2 linked regions of the Drosophila melanogaster genome follow. Each later gene encodes a partner of the first gene's protein in a complex. Each region holds a gene or a part of one and is shown in the gene's direction. Other genes may lie near its edges.

The links. Proteins that work in one complex are often made in the same cells at the same time.
Region 2: Rad9 (region 1) and Hus1-like share a complex: the UniProt entries of both Drosophila melanogaster proteins name them as parts of the 9-1-1 checkpoint clamp complex.

What each region holds. Positions count from the first base shown.
Region 1 is NT_037436.4:18,869,492-18,874,111, reverse strand, and holds Rad9 (Rad9), read left to right. Parts: upstream 1-1,558; 5' UTR 1,559-1,627; coding exon 1,628-1,661; intron 1,662-1,717; coding exon 1,718-1,944; intron 1,945-1,998; coding exon 1,999-2,150; intron 2,151-2,258; coding exon 2,259-3,114; coding exon of another isoform or gene 3,115-3,216; exon of another isoform or gene 3,217-3,259; coding exon of another isoform or gene 3,260-3,331; coding exon 3,332-3,433; coding exon of another isoform or gene 3,434-3,498; intron 3,499-3,551; coding exon of another isoform or gene 3,552-3,684; intron 3,685-3,741; coding exon of another isoform or gene 3,742-3,804; 3' UTR 3,805-4,067; downstream 4,068-4,620. Other genes in the region: Uggt (UDP-glucose-glycoprotein glucosyltransferase), read right to left, coding at 1-750, 934-1,162; Blos3 (biogenesis of lysosome-related organelles complex 1, subunit 3), read right to left, coding at 3,260-3,498, 3,552-3,684, 3,742-3,804; Grx1 (glutaredoxin 1), read right to left, coding at 4,140-4,235, 4,301-4,405, 4,466-4,609. UniProt on the Drosophila melanogaster protein: Component of the Rad9-Rad1-Hus1 (9-1-1) checkpoint clamp complex.
Region 2 is NT_033777.3:4,807,783-4,813,737, reverse strand, and holds Hus1-like (Hus1-like), read left to right. Parts: upstream 1-1,641; 5' UTR 1,642-1,755; exon of another isoform or gene 1,756-2,294; intron 2,295-2,950; exon of another isoform or gene 2,951-3,066; intron 3,067-4,463; 5' UTR 4,464-4,478; coding exon 4,479-5,315; 3' UTR 5,316-5,402; downstream 5,403-5,955. UniProt on the Drosophila melanogaster protein: Component of the 9-1-1 checkpoint clamp complex. Involved in both meiotic and somatic DNA damage responses.

The sequences.
Region 1 (4,620 bases):
CCTGTATTTCTGCAATAGCAGCGGCCGCCTGGAGACCCAAATCCTGGAACTCCCATGCTTTCAATTGGGCGATCTCATCGTTTCCCTGAAGAAGCCTCTGACGCAGTTGATCCAGCGCTCTCTTAAGTGTAGGATGCTTCTGCTTCAGCACCTTGAAATCAAAGCCCTGGACGTCCGATTCATTAGCCAAATCCTCATCAGAAGTGGAACCAGCTTCGGGCTTTGGAGCATCATCCTGACTCTTGTATTCCGTTGACTTCAGATGGAGTTCCACTCCATAGCCCGAAAGTCGTACCGGTCGCTTGTCCTTCTTGGCCAATTGATGACGCAAGATGTAACGAATCCGGCCAGCATTGGCTTCCTTTTCCAATAGTTTGTGATAGGTGCGGAATTGAGAGCTTCCCAAATCGCCGTATAGTACCACAGTGCGGGTATTGTTCTCACTGCCAGGGAAAATGTGATCAAAGCTGTAGGTGACAACAGAAGCATCCAAGCTATCCTTGGCGAGCGGCACTTCCAGCTTCTTCTGCAGCTCGTTAAAGCTGCAGGCCAGTTCGGAACCCACCTGGGCAAAAGTAAAGCTCTGACAAGAGCCACTGCTCCTCAGTTCCTCGGCCAACTGGAAGTGGGTCTGGATCCGGGGCGTCAAGCTATGCATGGATACCACCAGCCTAAGCAGGGGCAATTGGGGAGAACTCACATGGCTCTTGACCAGCTCCAAGGCGGCATTGTACTGTTGCGACTCGGTATCTGAAAAGCGAAAACGTAATCAGAAAAATAAATTACCCTTTGGGAAAAGATCACATTATAGGGCTTTGGGAATAGGTGATTTTATATTCCGAACCATTACTTGATTTTATATGGATTCGATTCACATTGAGGAGAATATAAAAGCTCTTTAATGCGGGTTCTCCATGACTTATAAACACAAACCATATTCGTTGAGAACCGTGTCCAACTTGGTCACCCCCGAAACGTAATCCCAGAAGAGGCCCGCCTGCTCATCGGCCAGATACTCGGCGATTTCCAGATATAGGGGCGTCTGCGTCCATTTCGCGTTGATTAGCGTGGTGATGGGATAGCTCTGACTGGATTCCCCAGAAGTTGGCGTATATAGTGCTATGAGCACCACAGACACACACAAAGCCACGGCACGTAACATGGTTTCCACTTGTTTTAACGTAGATTAAACCACGCACATTACGTATACTAAGCGTAGAGAGGAACTTAAGGCTTTCCTTCTCCAAATATTTTACTTTTCACCAGTTTTCGGCTGGTTTTAGCCCAGTTTTTCTTAATTTGATTTAGAACTGATGTGGCGTTCGTTGATGAACCGGCATGCCGCAGTGTGACCAGACTACATTGGAACTACATCGGGTTGAAGAACTTATTTAAATTTATTTATTTTACGGACAATTGTCAATATGGAAATATTTTGCTTTAAATTATAAAAGAAATTATTGAAATATAAAAATAGTACATACTTACTTCAAAATGCATAAATGGGTAACTAAATTCCTTTGTTGGTATTTTTCATACCTGTTGTGCGACTACTATCACTCTAATTTGTTTGTTTACAAATTTCAGCGCGAATTTCGCGACCAAAAACATAGTGCAAATATTGCCAATGAAATACACTTTAGAGGGCAGCAATGCAAGAGGTACCACATAATAAACAGCAAAATATATTGATAACTAAAAGAATTCATTTTTTAAGTCATCGCCAAAGCCGTACAATCGCTGTCCAAGGTGGGCAAGGAGATGTTCATCGAGATCGACCAGCAATCCTTGCAGATGCGGGCCATAAATGCCACCCAATCCGCAGTGGGCAGCATATCGTTCAAAAGATCCATGTTCGAAGTGTATGACATGCCGCCGCACTCAGATTTCTACTGCAAGATCTCCATGAAGGGATGTTTGGCCGTGTTCCGCAACATGAATGAGGTAAGTTCGAAAGTCTGCTCACTGGGATTAGTTGTTAAGAATATTATGTTCCAGGTGGAGTACTGTGAACTCAACTTGCTGGACAACCAGACCAACCTGCAGGTGAATCTCCGCTGTAAGCTGGAGACCACAAAGGAGGCCACCATTTCCATCATAGACGACCAAAACATTAACACAAACATTAACACCGATCAGATGCCGAATATGTGAGTTTTGGTTTGTGTTAAGGATAACTATTAAGTTTATCTCCTTACCTTATTTCTCTTAAAACAACTATGCCCATATAAATCCGAATTTACTACTCAACATTTCAGAATCCGTGGCGATCACAAGCTGTTGACGGATATATCCAATAACTTTAACTCCTCAGAGGAGGAACTTACTTTGGAGGCAAACTCGGGCAGTGTGGTGGCCAAAAACTACATAGAAGGAGCCCGAGTTAATGATAAGTTCATGCGCACGCAGCTGAAACTTAAGCCCAGTGAATTTGAGCAGTACCAGGTAACGAAGGAGACGGTCATTACATTCTGCATTAAGGAATTCCGAGCATTTCTCCTCTTCGCCGAGTGCTTAAATGCTTCGCTGACCCTGGAGTTCGACGAAGCGGGCATGCCTTTCCTGCTCAAAATTAAGAAGCATGGCGAGATTGAATGCTTGCTGATCATGTCCACGCTATCCCCCGATGATATAAGCTTCTCGGAAGATTATTGTCAAAAGGATCTGACAGTGCAGGATGAGGATGTACGAGCGGCGGCCGCAAAGCGAAAGAGCAGCGTTTCGAAGCCGAATGTGACCAACAAACGCAAAGGCAGCTCTTCGGAACCGGCTGCAGTGCAGCCAAAACGGCGAGTTGAGGAGACCCAATTAGAATCGAGCCTAGATAATCCACTGTTTCAGTTCCGGGACTCGGAGGCGCCATCTGTTCAGCACCCTCGCATCCTAGCCGAGGTGGACACTGTGGTTCTGATTGAAGATGAGGCGGAACAAGAGGCTCTCATGCTGGCAGCCGCGGATGCCGCTTTGGAGGCCAGCATGGCACCTGCTCCAGAGCCGCCGAACAGCACGGAGGTTTGCTTTATCAACACAGACGACTCTCAACAACCTAAACCTGCGAAAAGCTCCTCCGACGAGGACGAAACTATACCCCAGTCACCTGAGCGCCCTAACAAGGTGCGAACCATCTTCTCACGTTGCTTTCAGAGGACCTACGTGCCGCGGGAGCCCTCACCCAACACTCAGGTCTATGCGCCCAATTCCGATACAGAGGATTAGCCTAGATTTGATCGTTTATCAGCAAATACACTATACGTCTAAGTCAGGTTGCCTTCTGGATGCTTATGTGCGGGAGGAAGTTGCTGGTAATAACATCAGCCACCCTGTTTTGCAGGTCCTGGGCGTTCTTCTGGGCCTGCTGCAGGGATGTGTGAGCCGACTGAAGACTATGTTGCGACTTGATGAGCATTTGATCAGTGGTTACGAGCTGCTTTGATGCACTCAACACAAAGCTGCGAGTGAAAGCGGTAAGGGATCTCCAAATGGCAATGTTGTTTTCGACTGGAAAAGGGCATTAAGTTGAAATGTTTGAAGGCACAGAATTGGTGACATACTTAGTTTCCGCTGAAGCAGATTATTCCGGTAAATGGAAGCCGTGCTGTTGACCTGGTTGCTGCTTCGGCCTTGCTCGTAAATGTCTTCATCATCCTCTTCGGAGGCTTCGCCCGAAATTTCAGCAGCAAAAATCTGTCACAAAATGGTTTTATTATTGGACTGTTATTTATAAATGATATCCTCAACAACCTTATTCTTCTCCTGCAGCTCCTCGTCGGATTCAGAAGCTTCACCGCTCACCAAATCAGCCATCATTCAGTTTATTAAATACTATTGTAAACAATTTTTTATTTACTGCAGTTACGGCGCTGCCAGATCAGTTAAAACTGCAAACTGTTGCTCACATGGGCGCAGTTGAAGGGGATATTCTTATGTTTGTGATATCTATGCTAACAGATCCGTAGAACTACAATCATAAAAATTATTAACGGATAATGAATGGTATTAGTAACACTTTGCCCATTACTCAGAAGACGATGTAATCTCAATAAGCGCAAAACATAAATTTTAAAAGCATTTATTAAGGACTTTGAAGATTAACAAACTTTTTACATAAAACGGAGTTCTGAACAGAGTAAGAACACTATTTATTGGAAATATTTTTGCAGAGCTCCTGTCTCGAACATTCGTTTGATGTCAGTGCCACCGCCAATGAATTTGCCATCGATAAAGACGCGGGGAACCTACACAGTACACAGGTTACAAATGATAATTAATCTTTATAATGTAAAATATTTAGTGCACCCACCGTTCTGGCACCGGTAATCTCGCCCAGAACTGCCTGAATTTCGTTGCCATCGGGATTTCCATCGAGTTCTATTATGGTGGCGTCCACATTGAGCTTTTTGAAGGGCTGGAACGCAAAGATGTTTATCACTGTTTGGGACTTTTCAAGGTCTCGCAACTTTCTCACCTCTTTGGCCATCGTGCAGTAGGGACAGTAGGTCTTGCTGAATATCACCACTTTGTTGCTGGCAATGGTGTTTTCAACGAATTTCGCCTGCTTGGTGGACATGTCGACTATTGGGGATCTCAAAGCGGATCCAACTGCACCCATAAGCTCGAAAT
Region 2 (5,955 bases), on another chromosome or scaffold:
CACGTCACACCTTAAAGTTCTCGAGACTTTCTCCGTACAACGAGATTCCGTTTCAGCGGTCAAACAACTGCAATCGACGAAGGCAAGTGAGTGACTCAGTTGGTTGTCTTTAGTTTATTGTTTACTCACCTTGTTGCGCTATCTATTTCCTTGTTGTTGTTTTTGGAATTGTCTTTTTTCGTGATAAGAACCTTTGTGCTTCTGGTTGGATGCACTTGCCTGTCCCAAAACAATAATAGTTTCTATTAGTTTTAGATGGACGTTTTCAAGGCTTAGGAATATCGATCTTGTCATTGAACATTCAATATGGTCTTTGTGTATTTTATTATCATTTGTTTTATGAGTAAACTCGCCGCACAGGAAAGTAAATAAAAACCGAGCTGGCAAAGTTGGGATAACACTATCGGAAGATGGCGATGATTGCGCTTCGTCCCACTCGCAGCAGCGCTGATAGCCGGATTCCACCGAACATTTTACGCTAAATTAATAAAATTTATTAAAATTCATTTCTTGTTAAATTGAAGAATCTTAAAAAATACTTTTCAGTTTAATTTAAATTAAATAACCTATCTAAAGACCACAATCAGGCATGTTCCGGTAATAGTAATATTTTTTCGATTACGATTTGGCAAAATCTTTCGACTTCGTTTTTAGGTGCTCGGGTTTTCGCGGAATTTTTGCGATCGGAATGTTTTGTAAACAGGAAACAGATGTCTAAGCTGTATTCCAGACAATGGAGCGACCAATTTTTTCACAGTTTTAGTTCCGATGTTCGCACTGCACTTTGTCCATTTAAGTAATTAAATTAAATAGTATTATTTACGAACAGTACTTTCGACCCTCCTTTAAATTAATTACGAATTTTTTTTCATTACATCTTATATGCATTTATACTGTTTATACTGTATTGTTTCACCAATAGTATAGCAGTCTTCCTGATAGCTTTTGTCGACATAATTATGAACACTTGCCAAATCGAAACTTTTTGTTGCCAACTGCAAAATTTTGTTTGTCAAATTTCAGGTGGGGTCAGAAATTACTTTTGTTTAATATAACTAAGTCTAAAAATGATCTTATGGTGATGTGGAACATAAACATCAATTAATAAATATCAATAGACCAGCAAACTATTTTTTCCCCTTAGTTAATAAGATCTGATTTGATATAAAAAAGGCATTTACTTTTTAAAAGGCCGTTTTACAAATTAAAATTTTCTTACGAATTCGATTACCGGAGCATTCCCGAATAATATTGTAGAGAGCAAAACGGGTTGATGGTTTCTAAGGTTTCAACGGCATTACTGTTTTGACTATTCCCTACATTTCAAAATATATCAAAAAGAAAATCCTAAAATGTACAGTAGAAATTCAGCTTTTTATAGCTTACTTAAAAGTTTCGCAATACTTATTCTTGAAAACGCAACTCAATGTAAGTTTATGTATAAAGTATACTTCTGTATACATTAATACAATTATAATTGTAATTAATTAAATCACTATAATTATAATTACCATGCATATCGCCTACAAACCAAATGCGGTCTGCGGCGAAGGTAACGGAAGGCCCCAAATGCATCGTTCACATTCAAATAAACAAAGCATTCCCCATCGGTATCGTTATCGGTTTTCGATGTCGATAGTCGTTCGTAGCAAGACGCGGTCTCACTGGTGCACATTGTTTTCCGTCGCGTGTGAAAATTGCTGAGTGTATAAAAACTGTGCATACTTAGAGAAAACTTCTGCATTTGGTTGAAAGGTAAGTGCGACTGCTGCGGACGCCATGGAGACCAAAAAGCTTTGCAAAGGCGAGCCTATGGCGATACGAAGAAGTAATTTGACCACTGATTTTATGGGGCTCCGAGCTCAGACGAGATACACATACGCACACATACACACGCTTACGTTTCAAATAGGCACCAGCGAGACGGAAAACAAAATGTCGACCGAATTGTATTTTCCTCTATTACTTTTTCCCACCGATTTGTGAAGGTTTATGCCTTTCGAAGGCTCGGAAAAGTGTGGTAAATTTGTGCTTTCCCAATTAGAAGTTTTTGATTGAGTGACATCTGGGTTTAAGTGCACTTTTTTCTGAGGGCAATCTCCAATATTGATTTTTACAATGGCTGCCGAGGAGTCTCATTCATTTTCCAGGAAAATGTGCACAGAAAAGCTTATACCAAAGTGCATAGGTGATTACAATTCCAAATGAATGATTTTCCAAATAGTTAGTTGATAAATTTACGAATAGAATTTTCTCGCAAATCAATTTTGATCGTCTTTCGTGTAGGTTATCCACTGATGAATACGTATGTGTGTCTTTTTATTCTATTCGAGTTGGTATTTTCTTTTATTTGATAAGGGGTGGGTGGGGGTCGAGCGCATCTTGTTTAGTTTTACTTTCTCTTTTATTTATGCTGCAAACTTCAGCGGGTGGTGCTCCATCCATGCTAGCATGTATGTATGTATTTAGAGTGAGTGTGTGTGAGTTAGTGAGTGAGACTGCAAGGCAATCACGTTTCTTATTCTCAGCATATTTATTTTCTGATCAATTTTTGGCCTCTTTTCAGCACTTTAATATTCTTTCCTCCCCTCTCCAGCATTTGTTTGAATTTTAATATTTAATTGTTAACGTACATATGTACATAGATACATACGTTTAGATACGTTTCAATGACGCGAGGGTTTCAGCAAGAAAGCAGATACATATATATACATATTTGTGTAGCCATTATTTTTTTTCGCTTCTTTGTGAAATTCGCTATGCTGCTGTGACGTCATAGGTCAATTTTTAAAGAGAAAAAATAAACAGCTGATTGCCAAATAGGCAGCACTGTCGTGCGAGCTAGAGTTGCCCTTCCTAAAAGGCCTACTAAATGTCATAAAATAGCCCTCATTGCACTGAACAAAACTCAACCCGGAGAACTCAGTGACGTACTTTTTCTGAATTTTAGGGATTATTACATCAGTTTTTGTATGCTTCCTTCATTCCTGATGCCATAGTATTACTAGCTTTGTCAACTTATACAGCAACTCAAACAACCCATGTGTATGGAAAGAACAAAATATGGTAAGTACCAGTTCATTTCTGAAAGAACTCTTAAAAGCAAATGGAAAATCGCTGAGGTACTGCCAAATTTCTTGTTATCCACTAACCACTCTGCCACGCATAAACGTTTGAGCTCATTTTCATTATCAATAACCTTGAAGGTTGATTGAACTGCGAAAGGAAATATTTTGACCCCCTAGACGGGATATAATTTGATTTCCGCCCCCGGAGCCCCCTGGCAACACCCTCCCCGCCCCGGGAGCCAACCCTGGAGCCGCCCCTACACTTGAGCCGTACAAATCCTGTCTGTCGTTTGATGACTTTGTGTGCAAGGAGAACGAGGCAGTCTTTGTATCTGACTGCGTGCTTCATTTCGTCGAGCTCCGTTTCGTTTAGCCTGCTCTCTGCTCACCGCTTCGCCCACCAACAAAAATACAAATAAATAAATGAAAAGAAGAGCCAAAACACAACTCGGAACTCGCTCTGCGCTTTGTTTGCCTGGCTCTTCTTTCCCTTCCCCCTCCCTCTTCCGTTTTCATCATTCGCCGTGTGTATGTGCGATGGACGAGCGAGTGTGCTGTGTGTGTGGGTTCGCTGGCGCCCGTGTGTGTGTGCGCCTTTGTACATTGAACTCAAAAATTCGAACTCGAGAAGAAAAGAAAAGAGTGAGAACGAGTGGAGACCAAGTCGGATAACCGACCCATCCCCTCCCTCTGGTGCCGTAGTCCACACACCTCATTAACCACCCGAAAAGGGGTCCCGAAGTCGTCTCGTATTCGTCGTCTTCATCCCAACTTAGAACCCTTTGATCAGGTTGCTTCGTCTGCTGACCCAGATGACGTCCATCCCAGATCCAAGACTTACCTAAAATGTTAAGTGAGTGGGACGTAAATGACTCCGATCAAAAAATAAATAATCCGTGTAATTCCTAAGAATGAAATATTACGAGAATGGCAAAACAGTTTATTCGAAATATCAACTGACTGATTGGGTCGTCTCAAATAGGATTAGTGCTAACAAATGGCATTTAATGCAATTCCTCTGAATTAGGGTGTACTATAAACTGTTGAACATCTGAAATATTGAGCTTGGGTTAGCTCTTTTTCCCCTGTTCCATACAAATCGATTTTTATAATAAATCAAAATATTGCAATGACCATTATGCATTGTTGCATTTTTAACAATTGCGAATTCTACAGTTATTGGATAGCCCAGATTTCAGTCTCAGCGCTATGGTTATATGGAAAATGAAAACTATTTTGTATAATATTTGAGATTTAGCGAACGGCAACCCTAAGGGAACGCTGCGTAGATTTGGATGCCTTTTTAGTTTTTGGTTGCCCGGCTTGACTCTGTTTTTTGTTCTTTTTTCTCCCTTTATTTCCTGATCATTACGATCCTGCTCTGATCTTGTACAGTTCTTTGCTGACAAGATGAAGTTCCGCGCACTGATGCAGGATCCGCTGTACATGAAAGAGTTCCAGGCCATTGTGGCCACTTTAACCAAGCTGGCGAAAGATTGTGTGATGATTCTGGGCTCTCGGCAGATGCATTTTATCGTGAACGAGGATCAGAGCTCCGCTGCATCGCCCTTGGTTTGGGCAGGAATTACAGCTGAGGAGTATTTTCCGGAGTATCGCATGGAGGCTGCTCACCCGGATCAGGAGTACATAGTTCTAGGCGTGTCTTCGGCGAATCTCGGAAGAGCTTTATCTGTGCTTCGTGGTGGAGGCGTAAACAGCTGCAAACTGAAGCTTCAAAGAATTCAGTTTCCGTGCATTTCGGTAATAGCCTCGGTGCTTACGTCGTCTTCAACAGAAGCCCGTGAAGTGGTGCACGATGTTCCAGTGACCATAATCCCGGGCAGCGATTGGTCTGCCTACGTTGTACCCAGAGTTCCAAACTCACAGTTGGCTTTGGGCCTACCAAGCCTAAGATTGCTCAAAAGTCTCATTGACAAGCTGAAGAATATATCACCCAGCCTGGAGTTTCAGGTCAACGTGGACGGAGAGCTCAATGTAATAGCCACCTCTGAAATGTCCACTGTGACTAGTCGATTCCAGAAATTACTAATTCGAACTGTGTCAGGATCCCAGCAGGAAGCGTCCTGCTCTGTGGATTCAAGGAAAGCCTCGGCCTTCTTTGGAGCACTTCAACTCCCTAACGAAGAACTGACTATTGGCATTGACCGTGAGCATTCCATCCATCTGCAGATCGATGTACGACAGGATGTGGTTCTGCACTCTATTCTGCCAGCTGTTTGTATGTAGCCTAAGAGCTGGTATGTTTATCATAGCTGTAATAAATGCGACTTGATGTATTCAGGTGTAATAAACGTTCTCACTTAATTCTTTTCCAGAAAAACTCGTCGATGTTAATTTAAATTATCTTTTTGCGACCCTATCCGCATCATCATGCGTTATCGCTTGAACAATTATCTCTTTTACAACTAATGTAGAATTTTTCTTGTTAGTAAATCTAGCAGGATTGAACACGTTCTACGATATTCTGCGGGTCATATTTATTTATTTACATATGTATGTATATAAAAACACATTACCAGCGCTGTTTGTTTCTTCTTGCATATTTATTTTAAAATTTAGTTCGCTAGGACCCTTTTGGCTATTGATGCATTACTTGAATGTTGAGTAAAAATCTTCAATACATTTTTGAATGTACCTAATAATTCTTGGAGAGAAGCAACCTTTCACGTCGTTTGCAAGTAGTAATGTTTGCCTAAACGATATCGGGCCTTATCAGTGAACGAAAGTTGGGGCGGCTCTTTTTATCGTCGCTCTTCGCTGCCTGTCCCACATTCGTCAGCAGCCGTGGCCCCATTTCGCGTTCTCTCTCAGAGGCTCTATTTTACTCGCTCAGCTGGATTGCCCATGCACTTGCATGAGTGTGCAT